Canis lupus familiaris: one gene and its partners. The protein of the gene in region 2 interacts with the protein of the main gene of each other region in a pairwise test. Links are inferred from orthologs where the notes say so. Each region holds a gene or a part of one and is shown on either strand. Other genes may lie near its edges.

What was found.
Region 1: the proteins of RBM10 (region 2) and THAP1 interact in binary tests that used the Homo sapiens proteins (3 or more experiments, as listed by UniProt). The two-hybrid records come from large-scale screens. The link is inferred for Canis lupus familiaris from reciprocal best matches to the Homo sapiens genes RBM10 and THAP1.
Region 3: the proteins of RBM10 (region 2) and RBM12B interact in a two-hybrid assay, tested with the Homo sapiens proteins (3 studies listed by BioGRID). The link is inferred for Canis lupus familiaris from reciprocal best matches to the Homo sapiens genes RBM10 and RBM12B.
Region 4: the proteins of RBM10 (region 2) and CEP70 interact in binary tests that used the Homo sapiens proteins (3 or more experiments, as listed by UniProt). The two-hybrid records come from large-scale screens. The link is inferred for Canis lupus familiaris from reciprocal best matches to the Homo sapiens genes RBM10 and CEP70.
Region 5: the proteins of RBM10 (region 2) and SF3B4 interact in binary tests that used the Homo sapiens proteins (3 or more experiments, as listed by UniProt). The link is inferred for Canis lupus familiaris from reciprocal best matches to the Homo sapiens genes RBM10 and SF3B4.
Region 6: the proteins of RBM10 (region 2) and CPSF7 interact in binary tests that used the Homo sapiens proteins (3 or more experiments, as listed by UniProt). The two-hybrid records come from large-scale screens. The link is inferred for Canis lupus familiaris from reciprocal best matches to the Homo sapiens genes RBM10 and CPSF7.

What each region holds. Positions count from the first base shown.
Region 1 is NC_049237.1:23,673,943-23,678,242, forward strand, and holds the start of THAP1 (THAP domain-containing protein 1), read left to right. Parts: upstream 1-1,500; 5' UTR 1,501-2,176; coding exon 2,177-2,247; exon of another isoform or gene 2,248-2,332; intron 2,333-2,471; exon of another isoform or gene 2,472-2,727; intron 2,728-2,733; exon of another isoform or gene 2,734-3,158; coding exon of another isoform or gene 3,159-3,211; intron 3,212-4,300. UniProt on the Homo sapiens protein: DNA-binding transcription regulator that regulates endothelial cell proliferation and G1/S cell-cycle progression.
Region 2 is NC_049260.1:40,963,372-40,966,871, reverse strand, and holds part of RBM10 (RNA-binding protein 10), read right to left. Parts: intron 2,518-3,500; coding exon 2,334-2,517; intron 916-2,333; coding exon 685-915; intron 1-684. UniProt on the Homo sapiens protein: Binds to ssRNA containing the consensus sequence 5'-AGGUAA-3'. May be involved in post-transcriptional processing, most probably in mRNA splicing. Binds to RNA homopolymers, with a preference for poly(G) and poly(U) and little for poly(A).
Region 3 is NC_049250.1:39,289,783-39,293,282, reverse strand, and holds part of RBM12B (RNA-binding protein 12B), read left to right. Parts: intron 1-624; 5' UTR 625-672; intron 673-1,322; 5' UTR 1,323-1,350; coding exon 1,351-3,500.
Region 4 is NC_049244.1:35,301,043-35,305,209, reverse strand, and holds the start of CEP70 (centrosomal protein of 70 kDa), read left to right. Parts: upstream 1-1,367; 5' UTR 1,368-1,512; coding exon 1,513-1,527; intron 1,528-3,188; coding exon 3,189-3,279; intron 3,280-3,441; coding exon 3,442-3,565; intron 3,566-3,886; coding exon 3,887-4,067; intron 4,068-4,167.
Region 5 is NC_049238.1:59,867,874-59,872,129, forward strand, and holds the start of SF3B4 (splicing factor 3B subunit 4), read right to left. Parts: upstream 2,801-4,256; 5' UTR 2,678-2,800; coding exon 2,644-2,677; intron 2,197-2,643; coding exon 2,068-2,196; intron 1,800-2,067; coding exon 1,257-1,799; intron 934-1,256; coding exon 727-933; intron 1-726. Other genes in the region: MTMR11 (myotubularin-related protein 11), read right to left, coding at 4,003-4,149. UniProt on the Homo sapiens protein: Component of the 17S U2 SnRNP complex of the spliceosome, a large ribonucleoprotein complex that removes introns from transcribed pre-mRNAs.
Region 6 is NC_049239.1:55,593,396-55,597,457, reverse strand, and holds the start of CPSF7 (cleavage and polyadenylation specificity factor subunit 7), read right to left. Parts: upstream 2,801-4,062; 5' UTR 2,645-2,800; exon of another isoform or gene 2,572-2,644; intron 2,479-2,571; exon of another isoform or gene 2,365-2,478; intron 2,044-2,364; 5' UTR 1,979-2,043; coding exon 1,925-1,978; intron 337-1,924; exon of another isoform or gene 205-336; intron 1-204. Other genes in the region: SDHAF2 (succinate dehydrogenase assembly factor 2, mitochondrial), read left to right, coding at 2,875-2,910.

The DNA of each region.
Region 1 (4,300 bases), on a different chromosome or scaffold from region 2:
CATAGCAAATGCTGAGTAAATATCTGCTGAATCAGCTGATGAGTCAATTTCAGTGAACTCTTAGTTAAAATATACTTTTCAGTTCACAAGCAGCTATCACACTTTTTTTTAAAGATTTTATTTTATTTGTTCATTAGAGGCAGAGAGAGAGAGAGGCAGAGACATAGGCAGAGAGAGATGCAGGCTCCCCTCAGGAAGCTTGATGGATCTCTGAACTCCAGGATCATGCCCTGAGACAAAAGCAGAGCTTAACTGCTGAGCCATCCAGGCATCCCTATCACATTCTCATCCTTATTGCATGCACAGTAAACCACAGAAGAAATTTCTGTCTATCCCTGGAAATGCTAATAAACTATTATTTTAGTATTTGGTGAAAGGATATGGCTCTGAAATTCCTCAAGTTTTCTGGGCCCAGTTGATTTAACAAACATTTTCTAGATACTTAATGCCAGACACTGCAAGCTGCTGGGGTTACAAGGCTAAGACAAAGTCCTCCTCAACAGGGCCTCAGTCCATGAAGTGGGACAACCATACAGTAACGTATGGTTCATATACAGAGAGGTTAAACGCAAAGTTTTCGTTGGAACAAGAGAGGTGCCTAAGTTGAGAGGCTTAAGAAAAAGAGGATAGAGAAAGCATGTTAGAAAACATAACACCTGAGCCACATCTTGAAGGTGGACAGGTCAGTGAGAGGCATTTCAGCCTAAGGGCAAACAGGCTATTTATGGAAGCCAGGAGAATGCCTGCCCTGTGTGAAACATGATGGTAGGAAAGAGTTAAAGACAAGTGGATGGAGAATACAGTGAAAAGGTAGAAGTAGCCGGTCCTCAAGGGCTTTATGACACTATCGAGTAGAGGCAGCTTTTGAAGATGTGAACAGGTGTATGACAATTACCTTCTGTGGAGGATAGACTGGAGAGGCAAAACGAGACCTCGGACAGTCAGAGGCTGTTGCATGGTTAAGAGAACGCGAGAGGGCCTGATCAAGAACAACGAGGAGAGGAGGGATGGATTTAACAAGTATTTACTTACTTTATAAACTTATCCTGGTCATCAAACAGATGTAGAGAGTGGGAAAGAAATCTAAGGTTTCCGGTTTAAGCAACTGAACACATAATTCACAGAGGATAATCGAAGGCAGAAAAATTTACATAAGAAATAGAAGACCATTAGGAAATCAGAGCGTTTTATTGAACTCAAGCAGCAGGGTGTTAAGGAGGAGGAGGGCGGAGGATGGAACCCTGGGGAACCACGAGGACTGAGGCGGGGGTAGGCAGAAAGAGTACAATAGAGCCGTGGAATTCGTCACCAGCCTGCGCTGCAGACTCGCAGGCCCCGACCTGCAGACGGGAGGGCACGCCGCCGGAGGCAAGCGGACGGACCCACCCGCGCAGCTCGCGATCCCACCCGGCACCTGCGGGGCACTACCGCTACGCCCTCCGGCGGGAGCGAGTGTCCGCTCGCACTGCCACAGTTCAGGCGCCTGCGCCCTCAGAGCCTTGTGACACCTGCAGGGCAGGTAATGAATGGGATGAAGCCTGGCGATGTGGGCAAGGGTCCACAGAGTTTCACAGATCATATTCCATCTGTGGCTGCCCTTTGAGAGAAACGGGAAGAGCTACCCAAAGGCCTCACCCTCATACCTGCCCTCCTCTACGCCACCACACCCAAAGACCCCGCTGCTCTCCACCCCGCATCGTCCCAGATAAACTAACACACGGGGCCAAGCAGGTGGCGGAGTCTAGCCCCGCGCTCACGGTTCCGTCCCCTCCCCTCGCCTCTCCGCTACTCCCAAAACACTTCCTCTCCCTCTTCCGGAAGCTCGGAGGCCCCACCCACTACCGCAACGCCTGGCCTTAGCCAATGGCCTGCTTCCCAAGGAACGTTACCTCTGACCTCGGGGCTCATCAGACAGTGGGACAAACTCCTCGCGAGAGGTGAGGTTGAAGCTGCCTCCGCCATCTTGGAGATGGGAGACGGGCGATGGCTGTGGTCCTTCTGCTAATGCAAACAACAAAACGGGCACAGTAGTCAATGCGGGGGAGCTTATCATCACAGAAACTGTTGACCAAAGCTACAGAAGGAGTGAGGGTGTCAAAGCGCAGCGCAGCGGCATCGATAGCCGCTTCTCCTGCTTGCGGGAGCGGCAGAAGTGAAGTGAGTGGAGGCCGGAAGGATGGTGCAGTCCTGTTCCGCCTACGGCTGCAAGAACCGGTACGATAAGGATAAGCCCGTTTCTTTCCACAAGTAAGTACCCCGCGCGTCTCGCGGGGCTGGCCCAGCTCGGGCTGGGGGCGAGCGGCCGGTTAGGCTCGGGGGCGGGGCCAGCTTGCGTGCGCGCGAGCCCGGATGAGGGGCGGGGTGGGGCAGGGGCGGGGCCAGCGCGTGTGCGCGCGAGCCCTGATAAGTGGGGCGGGGCGGGGCGGGGCGGGGCGGGGCGGGGCGGGGCCAGCGGGTGTGCGCGCGAGCCTCGACGAGGGGCCGGGGCAGGCCGGTCCTCCTCGCGGTCCCTAGTCCCCCGTCCCCCGTCCCCCGTCCGCCGGGCGGCGGGTGTACCCGCCTGGGTCGGAGCTCTCGTGCTGCCGCCTCCGGCTGCGCGTGGCTGCCATGGCCGTTTCTTGCGCTCGAGAGTCGGAATCCACGCTCGGGGTTCGTCCGCCGCCTGCCGTGGACGTGTCGGCGCCCCAGGAGCGGCGTCCGTGGGCGCCGCGCGAGCCTCTGCTCGGGGTAAGAGGGCAGCGAGGGCGTAGTAGCGCCTCCTGAGTCAGTACGGAGCCGAGACAGAGGCTGTGAACGTGACGGAGCCGCTCTTTTCCCAGCCTTGGCGTGCCTGGGAGGCCAGCTTCACAGCAGCTCAGGCTTTCGGGGAGGACGTGTGCACTCAGTGCCTAGGGGCCCACCTCGGGGCACCTCTGGCTGTTGGAGGGAGCCTCTGGGACGGCCAGGACCTCAGTTGGCGCGCAGCGATGGGGTCCCAGGTCCGCACAGCTGGCTCGCCCCCGAGGAAGCCCACAGGTCCCGGGGCCGTGATGGCTTTGGCGGCTAGAGAGGCCTGTGGGAGAAACGACCTCGTGATCATCGGATGTCTGCAAAGTGGGACTCGATGGCATTTTCATTCCGCCAAATAAAGTGTTTACAGACTTTACGTTATTATAAATATGATTATTTACATTATTATTACCAAACCGATGGCAAATTATAGCAATTATACGTAAGTAAATCATTACAAAAGCAAAATTTAAGTATTCCGTCAGTTTTTTTGGTGGGGTCGTGTGTAACAGGGGATGTGGGTGCATTTTATGCTTAGTAGAAGAGGGACCCAGGGAAATGAGTGCCTTACCACGCAGATCTGAGTGTTGATTGATGGACCACCACCACCATCCCCATCCTGCCCTCCACCTGCAGGACGACTGAGAGCACCTAACACTCCAGGATCTACTTCAGTATATCCTGAGATCACTTCTTTATTTGTTGGAATTTCTGAAAGCTGATGAATTGACTTCCAGTTCTTTGAAAGTGTAGGAATAGATCAGAAGACGGTGACACTGTTATGTTACAGCCAGCTCTGCACAACCCCGTTTCTAATCAAAGAATCTAAAAATGTGGAAAACCCTTCATTGGTACTAGAAACTAAGGATGGCGTTCACACATCAGAAATAGTTTCTGCTGGCTGTCAAATGATTGGGTCAAAGGAGGAGCTGATCTGCCTCTCCTTCTTACCTATAAAGAACAATTTTTTGGAAATAGATGGGAATTATTCTCACAGAACTCCATCATGAACAGCCTGATCATTGTAGTGTGTAAGACAGGAGGCCCAAGGGGCTGAATTTTACTGGTGATGGCTACCATCTGTTGTATTTCTGGAGGCCATTTCCAGCAGAGATCTTCTACCACTTTCTACATGGTGGCCCAGTGGCAGCAGCTGTTCTGGGCAAAGAAAAGAACTGTCCCAAAGATTGGTTAGTTCTTCATGATAGCAGAGTCCAGCTCTGGCATACCTTATGTAGAAGAGAAGCTAGAACATGGAGTTGAAGCATCCTTTGGCTTTCCAGTTTCCCCATTTCACTAGATACTTGACTTGGAAAAGTAAAATCACAGTAAATATAAACCCTTTCTAAGCCCACTTTTCTGGGCCAGATGGACATATTCCAGTTGATTTCGAGGTAAAATAAGATCAATAATATTCTTATGCTGGAATTAAAAACAAATCAGAAGACTAAAATAAATTAAAACTTTTATTTTTTTAAATTAAAAAAATTGGGCAGCCCCGGTGGCTCAGTGGTTTAGTGCCGCCTTCAGT
Region 2 (3,500 bases):
AGGGGAGGTAGAGAGGAGACTCAGGGAGGCTGGGGAGGAGGCTATTCTAGTGGCTCCCTGGGGTTTTACTGCGACTCATTAGGGGAAGCCTGTATGAGAAGAAAACAGAAGAAAAGGGAGGAATACGGAAGGAAATGTCACAGAGCATGGGGTGGGTGGGGAGGCTGTCAGTAGCAGCAAAGGAAGTCAAAGAATGTAGGACTCTGTGGCCAGGCCACTGAGATTTGATGCTGCTACCAAAATAGGGAGGGGGTGAGGCTATGGGGAGAGAATGTGAATAAAATCTCAGAAAATCTCATGGGGACCCTCCCTATCCCCAGGGCTGCAGGGCCCTACATCATCTCTGCCACCAGGAATACCCAGCTCTGGGCCTGGTGAGCATCTGGCCTTCAATCAACATATGCCGAATGGATGGATGACCAGTGGAATGTTTGGGAGGAATGCTCTGTTCCCTCCCACACCCACCACCGCAGCCCCTTGGCCAAGCCAGCCTATCCGACACTCCTCCCTTCCGGACCAGGAGAGTACAAGGGCCTGCCCAGAGGACGGATCAGTGCTGGGGGAGAGAAGGGATAAAAGGTGCTGAAGTCGGGGTGAGGGAGAAGCTGGGGGCCCTGGAGGAGACCCAGCCTGGCCTCCTGCTCTGTCGCCTGCCCGGAGCCATGGGGGGGGGGGGGCACGTACGTCATCCTCAGTGGCTGCCTGTGGCAGCATCCTCAGCATGACGATGTTACTGGCCTTCTCCTCCTCCTCCTCCTCCTCATCCTCCTCCTCCTCCTCCCCTTGCTCGGTCCGATAGTCCTGGTCCCGATAGTCGCCGTCTCGGGGGAAGCCTGGCGGGCCAGTGGGGCTGTGCCTGTGCCGCCGCCGCCGCCTACGCTGAGTCTCGGAGCCCGGGGAGGCCTCGTAGGAATCCTGGCCAACAGAATGAGACGAGAGACACCAGACGGGCAGTCAGTCTGGGGTGGGCCTAGGGGCTGGCCGCTGGCTCTCTGAGGCAGGCGGGCTCTGAAAGCCAGGGGTGGGCGGGCTCCGGCTAAAGACTCAGGGCAGGCAAAATGGGTCAGCCCTGGACTGCAACCCTTCTGGGGTGGGAAACTGTCCCCGGATGCCTTTTGGGGGCTGCCTTGGTGGGGAGTGGGGAGAGGCTGGTGGCAGTAGTATTACTGTAGGGGAGAAACTCCCACAGACAGGTGACCAGACTGCTTAAACTTCCTTGGGTCTGGGGTCAGCACCCTAAATCCTGCCCCCTGTTTCTCCCTCGTCCTCCCTTGCCAGCTCGGCTAGAATGTGCACGACTGTTCTTTATGCCTTATGATTTCTGGCATGGGCCAGGGTTCTAGGAGCCAGTCAGCAGGGACTAGCAAAGATGTGAGGGCCACAGCACTGCCCCCAGCCCCTGATCCTCCTCTGCCTGGCCGGTGCTCTATCATCACTAGGCTCCCTCCTAACAGGGTGTGGTCACGGAGTTCTTGGATGTTGCCCAAGCCATCCTGCCAGGACTAAGCAGGCCAGGCCAGGGTCCACACCCCTTCTGCCCTCAGGGGGACGAGATAACTCAGGTCTCCACTCCCACTCTTCCCAGTGGGTCCACCCAGGGCCTCCTGGTGCCCTGGAGACATCCAGGCACAGATCACAGCTGCCACTGTGAAGCTTGGCTGCCCACTCTATACCCCGGGGCTGGGTTGCAAAAGTACCCTTCCCACCCTGCTGGATAGGAGAGCTGCTTGCTTGCTTGGACCCAGGGTCCTCTCAAACTGGGGTTCCCTTAAGGCAAGTCTGCTGCTTCTCCTCAGATGGTGAACGCCTCCCCTCCTCAGGCTAAGGCTAACTACCCAACGTGGAACTGGCTACCCTCTGAGCTCAAAGGGAGAGGCCCTAGAGGGTCTTTCCCTTTTGTATAGGGGCTCTGTTGCCCCTGTAAACGCCCATGGTTGGCCTCCCAGAGCTACTCTGCTTGGTGATATCCAGTGTCCCCACTGCCCTCCCAAGCCCCACATGCTGGGTCTCATGCAAAAGGCTCTTCAAGGACCCCAAACTGGCTGGGAGCAGGCAGTAAAATAAAGGGCTTGCAGTGAACCATGAGCCCAAATTAAAAAACAAGGAAGAAGGGAAAGAGGTGATGGCCAAGGGCCCTCAGAAGTACAGAGCCAAGCAGGTGGAAGTCAGGGAGACCCAGTTTGGGAGAGGAGCCCTCAGAGAGGAGCAGGGACAGACCCTCCAGGTGAGGCAAAGCCACTGAGCACAGTCTGAAGGCATGGGAACTGAGAGCTACCTGCACATGGTGCTACAACCAGAGGCCCTGCAGGAATTCTGTCCTCCTCGGCCCTCACCTCTGCACTCTGCTCCTCAGATGAGTCGTCGTAGTCATGCTTGCCCTCCTGGCTACCATACTCTCGGGGATATGAGCGGTAGTCCATGTCCCGGTAGTCGTGGTCTCTGCTGCGATTCTCCCCACCATCATCCTGCGAACGGTCAGTGGCCCCATAGCGGCCAGTCCTGTCCCCACGACCACCTCTGACGGAAGAAGAATGGGGAGGGATTAGAGGGCAGTCCTTTCTGAAAGGTGTAAGAGGTGGGGGGCTCCCACTCATTCCCTCTAGACCCTAGATCCCACTCCTGACAGGGGTCCCAAGATCCTGACTCCATGAGGCGAGCTGGTCCTTACCTCTCAAATCCAATCCATTTCTCTTTCCCCCTGCCACCTCTCTAGTCCATGTCTGTCTTCCTTCACAGGGCCATCGGGTGTGGCATCAGGGCCTGGCTCACCTCCACCAGGCCTCTCCTAGATCATTCTTTATGCCCCAAATGTGAGCCAGTGTTCGATCAGGCAAAGCCAATCAAGCCCAATCACTGCACTCTCTTCAACGGCTCCCTCTCATTCTCAAGATAAAATACCAAAATGCTCACCAAGGTCCTGCAATGTCTGCAGGGTATGTGTGGTGATGTCCAACCGACCTCTCCCTCTGCCTCACTGTGTGCTATGCTACCCTGCCCCTCTGTTTCACAGTTGCCCTGCTAAGCACTGGTAGTGTTTTGTTAAAATTTTTCCTATTGTGATTACTGTAAGATAATTATCTCTAACTTGACTTCATGGGCATTTCTTTTTTTTTTTAATTTTTTTTTATTATTTATTTTTATGATAGGCACACAGTGAGAGAGAGAGGCAGAGACACAGGCAGAGGGAGAAGCAGGCTCCATGCACCGGGAGCCCGACGTGGGATTCGATCCTGGGTCTCCAGGATCGCGCCCTGGGCCAAAGGCAGGCGCTAAACCGCTGCGCCACCCAGGGATCCCGCATTTCTTTTTTAAAAAAAAGATTTTATTTTTAAGTAATCTCTACACACAACATGGGGCTTGAAATTACAACCCTAATATCAAGAGTGGTGTGCTCTACTGAGCCACTAAGGCACCCCTCACTTAGATTTCTTTGATGATTTAAAAAAAGTACTTGACTGTGAGTTCTGGGAAAGAGGGGACCACACCCAGAGGGTCCATTG
Region 3 (3,500 bases), on a different chromosome or scaffold from region 2:
AAATCGGTTTTTGAATTCAAAGCGTTAGTGTCTTTTTTGTTGTATCATTTTGAATGGTTGCCTTATTAGTTTGATTTGGCCTTATGTTTTAAAAGGGTGGAAAATTGCAAGAGAGTTGGACTTAATGAGCTAAGTGTTTGGCCTTTTCACAAGTGGAAGTGATAGAAGGCTTTTGGGAATTTTTGGTGTTTCTAAGTTGTCATTTTACTTGTAGAACAGTGCAAGTGCATGTAAAATTTATATACAGTGAAATGCACAAAACTTAAGGATAGTATTCATTTAATCTTGATAAGTTTATACACCCATGTAACCAACACTAATAAAAATGTATAACCTTTATACACCTTTTTCCTCGTGCCACTTCCAATCAAGGAGCCATTCAATTTCCAGAAGTTTTTTTGTTTTTAAATAATTTGCAGATGCCTACTTGGAATTTGAACTTCATTTTTGCTGAAGGATGATTAATTTCCCTTGAAACAAAGAAGACCATTTTGTAATCCCCATAGTTGTGGTTCCTTATATTGCTTCTTAGTAGGTAATTCTGAAGGGAATATCCTAATCTGGTGTCGTTTAAGATCAATTACAGGGTCCAAGGATTAATTATATTTCATTTTCTTTCCACAGTTAAGTTGCTTTTACAGAATTAACAGGTCTCCAAGAAATTATAAAAAGGTAAGATATCCAGAGCTTAAGGCTTTTCACAGAAGCTTGACAAAAGAAATGTAAAGTAGAATAGGACATGTAGGTACACATGGCTTCTGTACTTTATGTGTGGCCAGTGATGTATACTAATGGTAGACAGTTTATTATCATAAGCAAAAATTATGTACTGACCATAGATGGCTTTTTGAATATGTAAAACTCATCGTTGGTTAGTAAAATTCTTTAACCCACAAAGCTCTCTCTCATGTTTTAGGAGAAGGTAGGTTTCTAAGTGAGTCTGAAAATAGTTTGGTCTTGTTGTGAAGCAGTGCTTGGCAGACTTACAAAGATTATTTGATATTTTTGATGCTTATATTGTATAGGATAGGTGATATGAAATATTTCTTTGAAACAGTTGGTTTATTTGTATGTTTAGATGGGAGGTTTATTCTTTAAGAGATTAGATACTGTATTTTTACATATACATAATTTTACATATTTTTTTGTATTTATAATACAAAAAATTTTACATATTTTTACATAATAAGGTATTATGTATCATACCTTATTTTCATTTATAAATGCTGAAGAAGGTAGGAACCAAGTAATTATTAAGTTTAGTTGGGGATAAGGTACTTCAAAAATAAGACTTGCTATTATGTGTACCTTTTTGTCTGCAGGTCATTATTGCTGTGGTTTGAGCTCAGCATGGCTGTAGTCATCCGTTTACTGGGGCTTCCTTTTATTGCGGGGCCTGTGGATATTCGTCACTTCTTCACGGGATTGACTATTCCTGATGGAGGAGTGCATATAATTGGAGGGGAAATTGGGGAGGCTTTTATTATTTTTGCAACAGATGAAGATGCAAGACGTGCCATAAGTCGTTCAGGAGGGTTTATCAAGGATTCATCTGTAGAGCTCTTTCTTAGTAGTAAGGCAGAAATGCAGAAGACTATAGAAATGAGAAGAACCGATCGCATAGGAAGAGAGCGACCGGGATCCGGGGCGTCAGGGGCTGGCAGCTTATCTAACTTTGTCGAGGCTATTAAAGAAGAAGCAAGTAATTCTGGATATGGCTCTCCAATTAATCAAGATGCTGGGTTTCATACTAACGGTACAGGACATGGTGATTTAAGGCCAAGAAAGACACGGCCATTGAAGGCAGAGAATCCTTACCTGTTTCTGCGAGGTTTGCCTTACTTAGTAAATGAAGATGATGTACGTGTCTTTTTCTCTGGTTTGTGTGTGGATGGCGTAATTTTCTTAAAACATCATGATGGCCGAAATAATGGTGATGCCATAGTAAAATTTGCTTCATGTATTGATGCTTCAGGTGGTCTTAAATGTCATAGAAGTTTTATGGGTTCAAGATTCATAGAAGTAATGCAAGGCTCAGAACAACAGTGGATTGAGTTTGGTGGTAATGCAGTTAAGGAGGTTGACATTCCTATGAGAACTGAAGAACATTCTCCGCCAAGAGGAATTAATGATCGGCATTTTCGAAAACGATCTCATTCAAAATCTCCCAGAAGAACACGTTCTCGTTCTCCTCTTGGATTTTATGTTCACTTAAAAAATCTGTCCCTAAGTATTAACAAGAGAGATTTAAGAAATTTCTTTAGAGATACTGATCTGACTAATGAACAGATTAGGTTTTTATATAAGGATGAGAGAAGAACGAGATACGCCTTTGTGATGTTCAAAACTCTGAAAGATTATAACAGCGCTTTGGGTTTACATAAGACTGTTTTACAATATCGTCCAGTTCATATTGATCCTGTTTCTAGAAAACAGATGCTGAAGTTCATTGAATGTTACGAAAAGAAAAGACCAGTGTCTGTAGAGAAAGAGAGGCTTGGACATGTTTCACAGAAATACTCTCAAGAAGGCTATCCCGGCCAGAAACTGTGTATATACATAAGAAATTTTCCTTTTGATGTTACAAAAGTTGAAGTGCAAAAGTTCTTTGCAGACTTTTCTCTTGGAGAGGATGATATTTACTTACTTTATGATGACAAAGGAGTCGGTCTGGGAGAAGCATTGGTGAAATTCAAAACCGAAGAACAGGCCGTGAAAGCTGAGCGTTTAAACCGGCGGAGATTCTTGGGGACAGAGGTATTGTTAAGACTGATATCTGAGGCACAGATGCAGGAGTTTGGCGTAAGCTTTTCCTTGATGTCCACGGAGAGAATGCAAGGCCATTCGCAGTCCTGTGACAGAGACGACCATGCCCATTCATTTGACTCCAGTGACCCGCCTCTATACTCCGCCGGCCCCTCCGAGAACTTCAGGCACCAGCAAGAGGACTTGAGGCAGCTGGACAGTTTCAAGCAAACCCAGGCGGACTTCCGGCAGCTTGACCGGAGCCTTCCGGAAGACTTCAGGCATTCCCCAGAGGACTTCAGGCGCTCTCCCGAAGACTTCAGGCGCCCTCGGGAGGAGCACTTCCGGCGGCCGCTCGAGGAGGATTTCAGGCGCCCTTGGGAGGAGGGCTTCCGGTACCCTAGAGAGGAGGACTTCCGGTACCCTAGAGAGGAGGACTGGAGGCGGCCCCCCGAGGAGGATTTCAGACGGCCTCCCAAGGACGACTTCAGGCGACCCCCCGAGGAGGACTGGAGGCGGCTCCCCGAGGGAGACTTTAGGCGGCCACCTGAGGAGGACTGGAGGCGGCCTCCTGAGGACGACTTCAGGCGGCTTCCCCAGGGGGAATGGAGACGACCACCCGAGGAGGACTTCCGGCGGCCTCCCGAGGAGGACTTCCGGCGACTCCCCGAGGAGGACTTCCGGCGACTCCCCGAGGAGGACTTCCGGCGACCTCCCGAGGAGGACTTCCGGCGTTCTCCCGAGGAGGATTTCCG
Region 4 (4,167 bases), on a different chromosome or scaffold from region 2:
TTTCTCTTTCTGTGACTATCATAAATAAATAAAAATTAAAAAAAATAAAATAAAATAAGTTTGTATTTGTTAAAGATGTATACTGAAATCTAAACATTGAAGAAATGAAATAAGAATGCAAGAATGTTGGCTTTCATTGAAGCTGTATTCGTGGATTTATTATACTTTCTCTATTTTTGTATATTTCTAAAAATTTCTCTAAATTTACATTTATTTATTTATTTTTGTATATTTCTAAAAATTTCTCTAATACAGTTAGGCAACGTGAATATTTTTTATTGCCAATCTACTTCTTCTGATTTAACAAAAGATACTATATCTCCAGCAGCCCCTAAAGCCTAGGAGAAATTATAACTAGGTGAACGGTTTGTAAAAGCAGGATGGGTTACCAAAGTAAGGGTGGTTGAGTTGTTAAAGAGACCAAAGCTTACAGGGGAGATAGTATGACATTAAGCACAAAAGTGGCAGAATTTGGGAATTTGTAACATGTTATTGGGTTTATCTGAAAATAAGGTAGAAAGACTGTACCCTGTAGACCAGACTTAAGGGTGACTGGTAAATTGTTTGGTTGGATTTCACTATCTGAAACAGACATAAAAGAGTAGAAGGGTGCTTTGGAAGAAATACTACCTGGCAGTGAAGAGGCCTACCTTTTTCCTTAGTAATTCTGAGAAGATCATTTCACTTTTCTGGGATTCAGATGGTTATAGTACCTGATGTCTTGGTACAACTCTCTCATATGCTGCTCTGCCAGCTATGAACAGCTAGAGATTTTGGATTAAACACTATACAAGGTCCTCTCAAGATCTAAAAGTTCCTGATGCTAATGAATGTGTATGATTGTGCTTCTTGAAAGGAGGAATTATATCTACATACCAAAGAATCCAAATTTCCCTATAGGATGATAAAGTCTTAGATGATAAGAAGAAGTAATGGTAGGGTAGACTGAATATAAACTTTTGTGTCTGCCAGTCACACAGAATTCTTTGTTGCTAGCCTCTGATCTACTTAGAAATACAGACTACCTAAGCAAGTGGCACTGCATTTACCCTTGGTGTTTAGTCCAGTGAATTGTTAGACTGGCCTATAACTTTGGGTCAGGTATAGTTCTTTTGGCTTCAAGAAGCAGCTTCCACAAGATAGCAGTTTATTTATTAGTAGCACGTGCTTTGTACATATCTAATTAAAACAAATAGTTCTGTGTGTATGTGTAAAACTCATAATGTTTTATTTCTAGAGGAGAACATTATAAGATAGGATTTATTCTAATGATTCTTAAAATCAGCTTTCTAGGAAGTCATACAAGTTTTGACACAGGAATGCTCAAATTGCCTAAGGGTTATCCATTCTTTTAAATATAATTTTCTTTAACACCTATTGAACTTTTTCTTTTTTCATTTAGGCAACGTGAATATTTTTTATTGCCAATCTACTTCTTCTGATTTAACAAAAGATACTATATCTCCAGCAGCCCCTAAAGCCTAGGAGTCCAGTAAATCATTAAACAGACTCATGACTGAAAAACAGGTAAACTTGAAATATTATATATATATTATAAATAATATATATAATTATATATAATAACTATATAATTATATATATATAATTTGATCATTCAAAATGTGTGGCATTATTTACAGAGTATTTGGTTTTTATGAGTCATAGTAGATAGCCACTGAGATGCCCACATAGCTTTTGGTTCCTAAAGCAGATAGCTTCAGTAATTTTAATTCTGGATCATGAATCTTTGTGACCAACAACATAAATAAGGGAAAAGATTGTAGGAGGAGAAGTGTGGAAGGGATAAAGAAGGTGAAGAAAGTCAGCAGTCAAAAGGAAAGATTTGGTGCTGTTAGTAATAGTGCTATTGTAGTCATACCAGTAGAGAGCTTAATGTTTGGGGGCATTTGAATGTGGAGAGTAGTATTTTTATATGTACTTTGTCTATATTAATCTTTAAGCTATTACAATATTTAATACTATATCACTAGTAAAAAAACTATTTTATAAATTATATTTTTCAAGCACTTAAACATTGATTGTAAATTCACTCAGATTACCTTTTCAAATATACTCACATAACTTAAAAAGCAAGTAAATTAACTTCACACAGTGATTTCAAATTGATCATTGTATTTACATTAAAAGACTATTAATATCATGGGTTTAAATATCCAAAAAATCATCTCTATTTTTATTCTTATCTGTATTGTATATTCTTACTACCTTTTCTTCCCATTATTGTTTTTATTTACTTAATTTAGAGAGTTAGGGAAAAAAAAATTTAGAGAGTTAGGGTCCCCCTCTCAGGTTTATGGTACGAATAGGTATTTAGAATCAGGGATACAAAACTTGAGAATATCTTTCAGAGTGACGCTACTAGAATCAGTTACTTAGATGGACAGACTCCTTTTTATAGTTAGACCTTGTCCACTATACAAGGGACTATCTACATCATTGGCTTTGACTATTCAGGCATTTTGATTTTTTTTGGTGACCTTATTCATTAAGTGGTACTTGTTTCTGTGTGACTTGCATTTAATTTACTGTTCAGTAAATATGACCTAATTGGCAGCTGTTTCTTATCTTTCTTTAAACTTTGGTCAAACCTTTTTTTTTTTTTTTTTTAAGATTTTATTTATTTGAGAAAGAGCAAGAGCCTGCACACAAGCAGGGGTAGTAGGGTCAGAAGGAGAGGGAGAAGCAGACTCCACACTGAGCACAGAGCCTGACATGGGTTTGATCCCATGATCCTGAGATCATGACCTGAGCTAGAATCAGATGCTTAACCAGCTGAGCCACCCAGGCACCTTGCAGCTGTTTCTTTTGAGTAGGGCCTGGTGTGATTTGGTTAAGCAAAAAAACCCTAAGGTTTGTTTGGTTCATTGAAATTACAAGGTGTTTTTTGGTTGGTATTTTTGTTTCAATTTATCCATTACAGCCTATATGTATGAGTATGGAATTATATAATGTGCTTTATTATTTGTGCTTATTTGCATTCTTTTTGATCTGCTAATTTTTTAGACATTTGTTTTAATTTTAATCATCATGTGTGCATAAAAAATTCATATTAAGAAACTTTGGAGAAAAAGTTCCATTATTTTGTAAACAAGGAAATTATATTTGAGAGGGTGTTTCTTCACTTTATATATTGAAGTTGATCGTTCTCTCACTCCTTGTAATTACAGCGAGAAGAAGCAGAATGGGAAAGCATAAATGTGCTGTTGATGATGCATGGCTTAAAGCCTTTATCTCTAGTCGAAAGAACTGATCTTAAAGGTAATCAAATCCTATTCTTGCTAGATCCTATCCTTTCTCATTATGGTAAAAAAATTGTTTTTCCTTTTATTTTTTTATTATTATTTTTTTTCCTTTTAAAACTAATTTTTATCTTAAATTTTTTTGCCTTTTTTACTATCTGTATTATATTAAAAAATGTAGATCTCATCGTTTTTGATAAACAGTCATCACAAAGGATGAGGCAGAATTTGAAAACATTGGTGGAGGAAACAACACGTCAACAGAACATGATCCAGGAGCTCATAGAAACTAATCAGCAGCTTAAGTAAGAAAACAGAATTCTCTTTTGAATTGTTTGTATACCAGTGGTATGCATTCTAAAAATAATGCCTTGAATCTTGAACTTTAATTTTCTATTTTGACTAAATATTAAGTTTAAAAAATATTTTTAGTAGGTAAATCTTTCAGTAATAGCTTAGCTTAGATATGTAAGGGTGCCTTGTATTTCTTCCATTGGTTTGTGTTATATGACAGAAATTTTAACAATGCAATGAAATTTTAGAAATTCGTTATGTTGTTAGATGAGTATGTTTGTTAATGTGATTTCCTTCTATACTAAGGGAAGAAATCATGTGTCTGTTTTTAGAAATGAACTTCAGCTAGAACAAAGCCGAGCAGCCGATCAGGAACAACGAGCTAATGACTTGGAACATATTATGGAGAGTGTGAAATCCAAAATTGGTGAATTGGAGGATGAATCCCTAAATAGGGTTTGCCAGCAACAGAATAAAATAAAAGATCTTCAAAAGGAATATAAAGCTTTACAGGTATTATGTGTTTTCTTATATGATAGTAGTAAAACAGCTCATTAAGGTCACAGGTGACTTCTATGTCACTTAATTCAGTGGTCTTTATCTTATTGACAGA
Region 5 (4,256 bases), on a different chromosome or scaffold from region 2:
ATAAATAAAAATTAAAAAAAAAAAAAGAAAAGAGAACCAGATACAAAAACCCAGCTACATGGAGAGGGAGAAAAGCCTACTAATGTGGCTAACTTTTTTTTTTTTTTTTTTTTTAATTTACGATAGTCACACAGAGAGAGAGAGGCAGAGACACAGGCAGAGGGAGAAGCAGGCTCCATGCACCGGGAGCCCGATGTGGGATTCGATCCCGGGTCTCCAGGATCGCGCCCTGGGCCAAAGACAGGCGCCAAACCGCTGCGCCACCCAGGGATCCCTAATGTGGCTAACTTTAAGGAGTCTGAGACAGATGAAAAATCCAGAAACACCAAGAGGCAAGCTTTTCAAAAAGGACAACACACCCAGTTTCAAGTACACCAAATGGCAAACCAGGTAAAGAATGGAAGTGCCCCCTCTATTTGGCAATTAGGTCACTGCTTTGGGGTAGAAGTCGGAGGAGAAAAATGAAGTAAAAGTTAAAGGAAAAAGCAAACGAGTACAGTTACACTCTTTGGAAAAACTTGTATAATAAATGGAGACAGGGTGGTAGCTGTTAAAGTAAACAGAGAACAGTGTCTCGTGTTTGTTTTTATAAAAGAATGTCTGAAAAAAAAGCAGAGCTCCGGGACTATCTACTATTACTGCTGAGGGATGAGGGCAGCACTGCATGTGGCAGTGGAGCTCCTCCAACAAGCTTATCTATCCTTTTCCCCAGCAAAGAACACTCACCTGGATGGGGCATCCCACTTGGTGGGAATGGGTGAGGATGCGAGTGTCCATGTCCAGGATGTCCAGCCCCTGGGGTTCCTGCTGATGGTGGACCGTGTCCTCCAGCACCGGGAGGCATAGGTGGCGGGGGCATGGCTGGGGGTATCCCGGGTGGAAGGGCTCCAGGAGGCGGCACCGGGGGTGGGAAGGACCCAGGAGGAGGCATGCCTATAGAGGAAATGAAAGACAAGTTAACGATAGTAAGGAGAGAATGTCTTTAGAAAGCCCGTTCAATCTGGCCTCCTCAGGCAGGATAAGTTCTCTTCCCTTCCTCCCAGCTCTCTAAAATCAGAAGCAATACTAGATAACTAGGAACAACTTCAGCCTCTTCAACTCAACAACTTTCTCCCCACAACTGTCACCCCTCACTCTCTTTCTCATCACCTACTGACTCCATGTCCCCCTTTATCAAGTTCTTTTCTCCTCCCCTTGCCCCCGCTCACCACCACACCCCAAGCCCAAGACAAAAATACTTTGAATAAAAGCTTTACCTGGTGGCGGGAGCCCAGACCCCAATGATGATACGACAGGATTGGGGGCTGAAGGCGGAGGGGGTGCATCTGCAAACAGCTGATGAGGGCGGTCAGCCTGGGAGAGTGGGTTCTGGGCTGCTAGAAGTCGTTCAGCTGCTGAGCCGTGGCGCTCCCCTTTCGAGTCCTTCTTGAAGGCATAGGACACAGTAATGGGGCGATTACAGAGATACTGCCCATTCATGGCCTCAATAGCTGCATCCGAAGCGTCAAATGAAGCAAAATTAATAAAGGCATAACCTTTGGAGTTGCCTGTATCAGGGTCCCGCATAATCTTAGGGGTTTGTAAGATGACCCCGAAGGCGCTGAAAGTATCATAAAGCAGCTTCTCATCAATTTCTGGGTCCAGATTGCCAATGAAAATGTTGGCCCCCACGTCCAGGTTCTTGTTGTGAGCCGATGCCTTGTTCACTCGTATTGGCTTCCCATATAGTTTGATCATGTTCATGATCTTAATGGCATAGTCAGCATCTTCCTCACTCAGGAATTCCACAAAGCCATAGCCTGGGAAGTAGAAAAGCAGAGATTAACTTAAGTGAAGTGATTCAATTTCGTGTGTAACTCATGCACCTTCCAAAGCACAAAGAACATGAAATAACCACCTCACTTCAACTGGGAATGGTTCCAGAAGCAAACATTGAATGACACTTAAAAGGAAGAATCTACAGGTGATTCCAAAACGGCTATGAATACTGCCTATGAATACTGCCGGAACCCTCCAGGAGCAGCTTGTCCCCTCAATGCATAAACACGCCTCTTGTGATGTACTCACCTTGGTGCTGACCTGTGACTCTATCCTTTGGCATGTGGGTGTTGACTACTGGCCCTGCCTGGAGAAAAAGCTCCCACAGCAGGGGTTCGCTAACCTTCTCATCCAGTCCCCCGACGTAGACAGTGGCATCTAAGAGAAATGAGCAGATTATGGCAGGGATGAGACAACGACGGGAAAGAAGGAAGTGACAGGCGGGGGAACTGGGAGTGGAGATGGGATATAGGAACAAAAAAGGAAAAAGACGTGAGAGTAAGCCCTTACATCTCTCTCATTCCAGAACTAAAGAACCTTCTTAAGTCTAACTGAAGGTTCTGCTGCAAATTCTCTGTGAATTGCTTTGTTTTTGGTTTTCGTTTGGGTTTTTGTTTTGTTTTGTTTTTTTGAATGGGAAGGCGCAGGAGATTGGACAGAGCATCACAACCACAGGCCTCAGCCTGCACCCGGCCACCCCACCCCCAGCCGGCACGGGGGCCGGGTTCGCGCCCTCCGGGGGGATCCGATCTCCTGCCCCGGCGAAAACACGGCTGGCCTTCCTCGAGGCCTCCCAGCCTCCCTGGCCTCATCCCCTCCAACTACCCTGGTTCCGCTCGGAGATCGGGCCGGCCGCCATGGCGAAAGAGCTCCCGCCGTCTCCAGGCAGCGATCCCGCCCTCTGACCTCAGTCAGTACTTCCACTTCCGGGGCGAAGGTAGTCACGAGGGCGGTGGGCGGGGCCTGATGGGGGAGGAGCCGGAAGAGGCCCCGGCCATCTTAGGAGTTGCGGAGACTTGATGCGGCTTGTGGGGCCGCGTTCTCCGGTCCGTGGTTCTGCGCGGATTTGCCGCTGCTAGCGGTCAAAGCGATGAGGGCCGAACGGAAATGCCCAGACCCTCTTAAGGCAGTGCTGGACGTTAAAGGATCACAGTACTCCTAAAAATGTAAACTCAAAAGCTAAAAGAACAAAACTTTATTTAGAAATATTTTGTTGGCAAACTATCCTTTTGTTCCCCGGAGAAGGGTGTGCTGAGGAAACCCTCCAACCCAAGGATTCGGCTGCCTTAGGGTGCGGAGGCAGCCCTCCACCGTGGCCCGCGGCTTCTGGGGAGAGGATTGCGGAGTGTCTGAGCTGGAGTGGCGTCGGAGCTCACATGATCCTGTTGCATGGGGGAGATGGAAACCTGAGGCTCAGAGATGATGTGTGCCCAGAGCTGAGGGTACCTGACATTGCAGCCCAGGGGCCTCAGTTTCAACCGCCAGAATACCCCGGGCCCACCAACCATGTCTTTGCATGCTCTTTGCCCCATCTTACGAAACGATTAGTGTGGACAGCCTGACCTATCTCCATATTTCCTGAACAATAATATGGTGGGTCCCTTCTTCTCCCGGTTTATCATCGCTTTTTTACTTAGGATCTTTTATTCAGACACCAGAGATAATGCCAGCAACTGTACTTTAATGAACTCGTTAAATAGAAATGTCACTACAAAATATACAATTGGGAGAGACAGGATGTGTCCCATACCCACTAGCATACCCATAGAAAACCAGAGGGAAGAAACAGAAATTGGAATTAAGCAGCAAGAGGAGGTGAGAATGAGTTCTGTAGGCCATCTCCTTTGAACTGATGAACAGCATCTCTCATCTCACAGCTTATCGGCTGGGTATCCAGAGGGATGGAATTGCCCTGAAAAGAACAAAGGTAATCGTATTCTGGATTGCTTTTGTTTCTTAATTCCTCAAATCATGAGAAACATATCTCGAGAATGAAACAGGACAGGGCAAGAGTTGGAGAAGGTTAGCACCACCCATCTGCAACAGAAAGGTCAGTGAGCTTGTTGAGGGCTGGAGTGTCAAAAGCTGAGACAGCAAGACCAAGATAAGAAAAATTGGAGGATTAGACAGAACCTTCCCTCACCCCGGACCCCCTCTGCCATGCCCATAAAAAAGACAACAATTTCAACGGGACTGGGAAAGAATGGTATTTGGATCTCTTTTCTTGGAGTGATCCTCAGGAGATACTCTTGGTGTCCATTTCCTTAAAAGCTCCTGAAGATGGGATAGCTCATCCTGGAGGCCAGAGATTGTGGGAGCTGAGAGGCCTTTCTGAGAAGGGGGTGAAGAGAGGCAGAGAGGAATATTATTATAGCTCTAGCTCCCTATTTCTGAGATGTGTCCACTACTTCTGGCATCTTTTTTATTATTATTATAAC
Region 6 (4,062 bases), on a different chromosome or scaffold from region 2:
TAATGGGTAGAAGGTCACTATACTATTCTACTTAGGTGTTCTAAAATCTCCATGTTAGAAAACGGCATAATATGTTAAAAATATTAATATAACTTGTGCCAAGTGAAAAAAAAATGACATGTATAAAACCTTTGTTGCCTTGTATAAAAGTCAGGGTCCAACCAGGGCACCTTCTTTAATCTGTCCTTTTTATCCTTTTTCCAGGTCCTTATGTGTACCCACGTAAGATGCTAATGAAAGGTGCTAATGGGAAGAACCAGTTTACTCATGTAAAATAGTGCTGAAAACAATTCCCGCAAGATATCACTAACTTTTAAATACAGAGTATGGAACATTCTTGAGATTGACTTCAATGTTAGATTATCATTTTGAGGAATATCACTGCATAATGTTCCTTGAGGTAATATAAACCGACCGACAAATCCAGGGTATACCAAGGGGTCTACATATGCTTTTTAACTGGTTTGTCCAACACCCTTACCTCTACCCTCTAAACAGTTACATTCATCAATAAAATAAAATTTATTACACCAAAATGCCTATGCACCTCTCAAGACTAGAGGCAAACTACTTACAGAAGGAAGACCCCAAACAGGCAGAATGGAGCTGCAGTTCAATGTTAAAGTATCTTTTACACTGTATTTTTGTACTGCCTTATGGAGGAGGGGACTACATTTCCCCAGCTGCCCTTTCAAAGAACTGCAAGGGGGGAGGGCGCCTGCGTGGTTCAGTCCATTAAGTCTCTGACTCTTGATTTCAGCACAGATCATCATCTCAGGTATGTGAGACCAAGCCCTACATCAGCTCTGCACCGGGCATGGAGCGCTTAAGATTCTCTCTCCCGGGGATCCCTGGGTGGCGCCGCGGTTTGGCGCCTGCCTTTGGCCCAGGGCGCGATCCTGGAGACCCGGGATCGAATCCCACGTCGGGCTCCCGGTGCATGGAGCCTGCTTCTCCCTCTGCCTGTGTCTCTGCCTCTCTCTCTCTCTCTCTCTCTCTCTCTCTGTTCTCTCATGAATAAATAAATAAAATATTTTTTTAAAAAAAAGCCAAATTCAGGGGATCCCTGGGTGGCGCAGCGGTTTAGCGCCTGCCTTTGGCCCAGGGCGCGATCCTGGAGACCCGGGATCGAATCCCACGTCGGGCTCCCGGTGCATGGAGCCTGCTTCTCCCTCTGCCTGTGTCTCTGCCTCTCTCTCTCTCTCTCTTTCTCTGTTCTCTCATGAATAAATAAATAAAATATTTTTTAAAAAAAAAGCCAAATTCAGGGGATCCCTGGGTGGCGCAGCGGTTTAGCGCCTGCCTTTGGCCCAGGGCGCGATCCTGGAGACCCGGGAACGAATCCCACGTCGGGCTCCCGGTGCATGGAGCCTGCTTCTCCCTCTGCCTGTGTGTCTGCCTCTCTCTCTCTCTCTCTCTCTCTGTGACTATCATAAATAAATAAAAAAAAAAAAAAAAAAAAAGATTCTCTCTCCCTCTCCCCTTCCACCTCCTTCTCCCTCTCTAAAAGGGGGCGGGGGGGGGGGTGGGAGAATAACCGCAAAGGAAAAAGGTATGAACACTGTCCTCATGAATACTAACCTAAGCAAACCTAAGTGCGATTTTCTTAAGTGTGGCTAGTCTTTGAGGAGACTGACAGCCAAGTTCGGCCTCCTGGGGGAGCAAGTTCCACAGGTTGATTCACCATTCTATTATATCTAATTTTTATGTGCTCTTAAAGCTTGTAAAATTAAGCCTTGGCAGCTAAAAATCAGCATAACACGCAATGGTCGGCCGTCTTTAAAGTCTGTGGTGGAGTAAAAAATCTAGACCCGACAGGAGGATGTTCAGGCCTAGCAAAGACTGTCAGTGCTTGAAACCCCTGCAAGTTTGGTCAAAGTGATTCAGCGGAGCCCAGAAAGCCCCGATGCTAACGCCCCCTCACCTGATTGAACTCCTCGTCAGCATATATATCAATCAAGTCCACTCCTTCGGACATGGCTCCGGAAGGACGATCGCGAGCCCGGAGAACGGACAAGGCAAGGAAGATGCCACTGCGGTACCCTGGAAGAGGCAAGTTAGAGGCGTGAGGGTCCCGGGCGGGGAGGGGAGCGATGGTTGCCAACCTCCGGTCTCCAGAGACGCAGCATCCCGGCAGCCCAAGCTCGGTCCCACCCGCCCGCCCCGCCCCCGGCCTCGCGCCGCCCCTCGGACTCCCAGGCCGCCGCGGCTCGCGGGGCTCGCTGCCCATCACCCTCGGGCCTGACCCGAGTGCGCCGCAGCTGCCCGGGCGCGACGGCGAAGCCCAGGCCTCCGCTGCGAGGGGCCCCGGGACGGCGCTGCCAAGCACGCCCGCGGGGAAGCCCGCGCCCCAGCCCGCCGCACCTGCCGAGGCCCCACGGCGTCCCGGGCTCGAGTCCCCGCGGGTCTGGTTTCCGGCCGCTTCCACTCCCCACCCGGGCCCAGTCCTCGCCCCCAGCTAGGCCCGCCCCGCTCCCTCCCCACAGATCCAGCCCGGCGCGCTCGGCCTCCTCCTTCAAAGCCCGCACCTCCCACCGCCCGTCGCCTCCGACTGCCCCAAACTCAACCGACCCCCTCCCAGTCTCAGCGCTGGCCCCGCGCCCTCTTCCGGCTCAGCCGGCCCCCGGCCGCGCGCCCCCGTTACCGGGAATATGGCGGCGGCGGCGGCGAGTCCGGACTAGGCCCGAAGCGCGCGAACCGCTCTCGGCCCCAGGCCCCGCCCCCTCCGCCTCTGGCGTCACGCGCACAGCCACTTCCGCCACACGCAGGGACGCATCTTCCGGCTCAGGCGCTCGGCGCCGAGGTGCGCGGTTCAGGCGTTCGGAAGTTCCCGGAAGTGGCCGAGCTGTAGGTTTCCGGTGCGGGTCGGGAAGGATGGCGGAGGCCGCCACGTTCCCGGGTCTGGCACGGGTGAGGCGAGTGGAGGTCTCAGGGCCCTGGGCAGGCCGTAGTGGGGGCTGAGTCCCGGCTTACAACGCAGTCGTGGGGACTGCGAGGAGCGTGCAGCTGCCTGGTATCCCAGGGCAAGGGCGGAGCCAAGGAGGGATGCGCCTTGCAACGTAGGAGATTCAGGTCACGTTCACTCCTTGCTGAGCCCGCCGTGCCCGTCCCGTGTGCGAGACGCGGTGCAGATGTCACCTGTTTCCCCGGTGGAGCTGGCTGCACCGCCTCTGCGCCAGATCTGAAGTCTGTTGTGTGGTCTAATACCTGTTAACGATTGTGCAACTCGAGGTCATGCGTTGTTGTCTTAGGGCTCCTCGTGGACACTGAACTGCTCTCAGTGCTGCTTTTTTGCTGCTTCTCATGATGTATTTGTAGGCCGCGTTGTCGCTCGTCTCAAGATCTTTCCGAATTCCCCTTGTGATCTTTGACCCATTTGAACCATTGGTCATTCGTGAGCCAGAGTGTCGGTGACTTTCACATATTCGTAGATTTTCCAGTTCTCCTTCTGATGTCGGTCTCTAGTTTCATCTCATTGCGGTCCTTTGTGGCCTTTTGATCTTTTTTTAATTTTTTTTTAATTCGGTAAGGCCTAGTTTGCATCCCAACGCGATCTATCTTGGAGAATGTTCCTATCCAAGTGTGCCTGAAAATAGTGTATTCTGCTGCTGGTTGGGATGTTCTGTATGTGTCCATCCCCATCTTGGTCCATTTGGTCTGGAGCTGTCGTTCAGGGCTTCGGTTGACTATATTGACCTTTTTTTTTTTTTTTTTCTGTCCAGGAGTTCTATCCGTTACTGAATGTGGAATATTGAAATCTGTTTTTATTGGGTTGCTGTTGATTTCTCGCTTCAGTTCTGCCAGTGTTTGCTTCATATGTTTGAGTGCTCTCATGTTGATTGGAAACATATGACTGTTAAATATTCCTGGCACGTTGACCCCGTTACCATTATATAATAAATGTCTCTTATTTCGTGACGGTTTTTTTTTTTAAATTTTTATTTATTTATGATAGTCACAGAGAGAGAGAGAGGCAGAGACACAGGCAGAGGGAGAAGCAGGCTCCATGCAGGGAGCCCGACGTGGGATTCGATCCCGGGTCTCCAGGATCGCGCCCCGGGC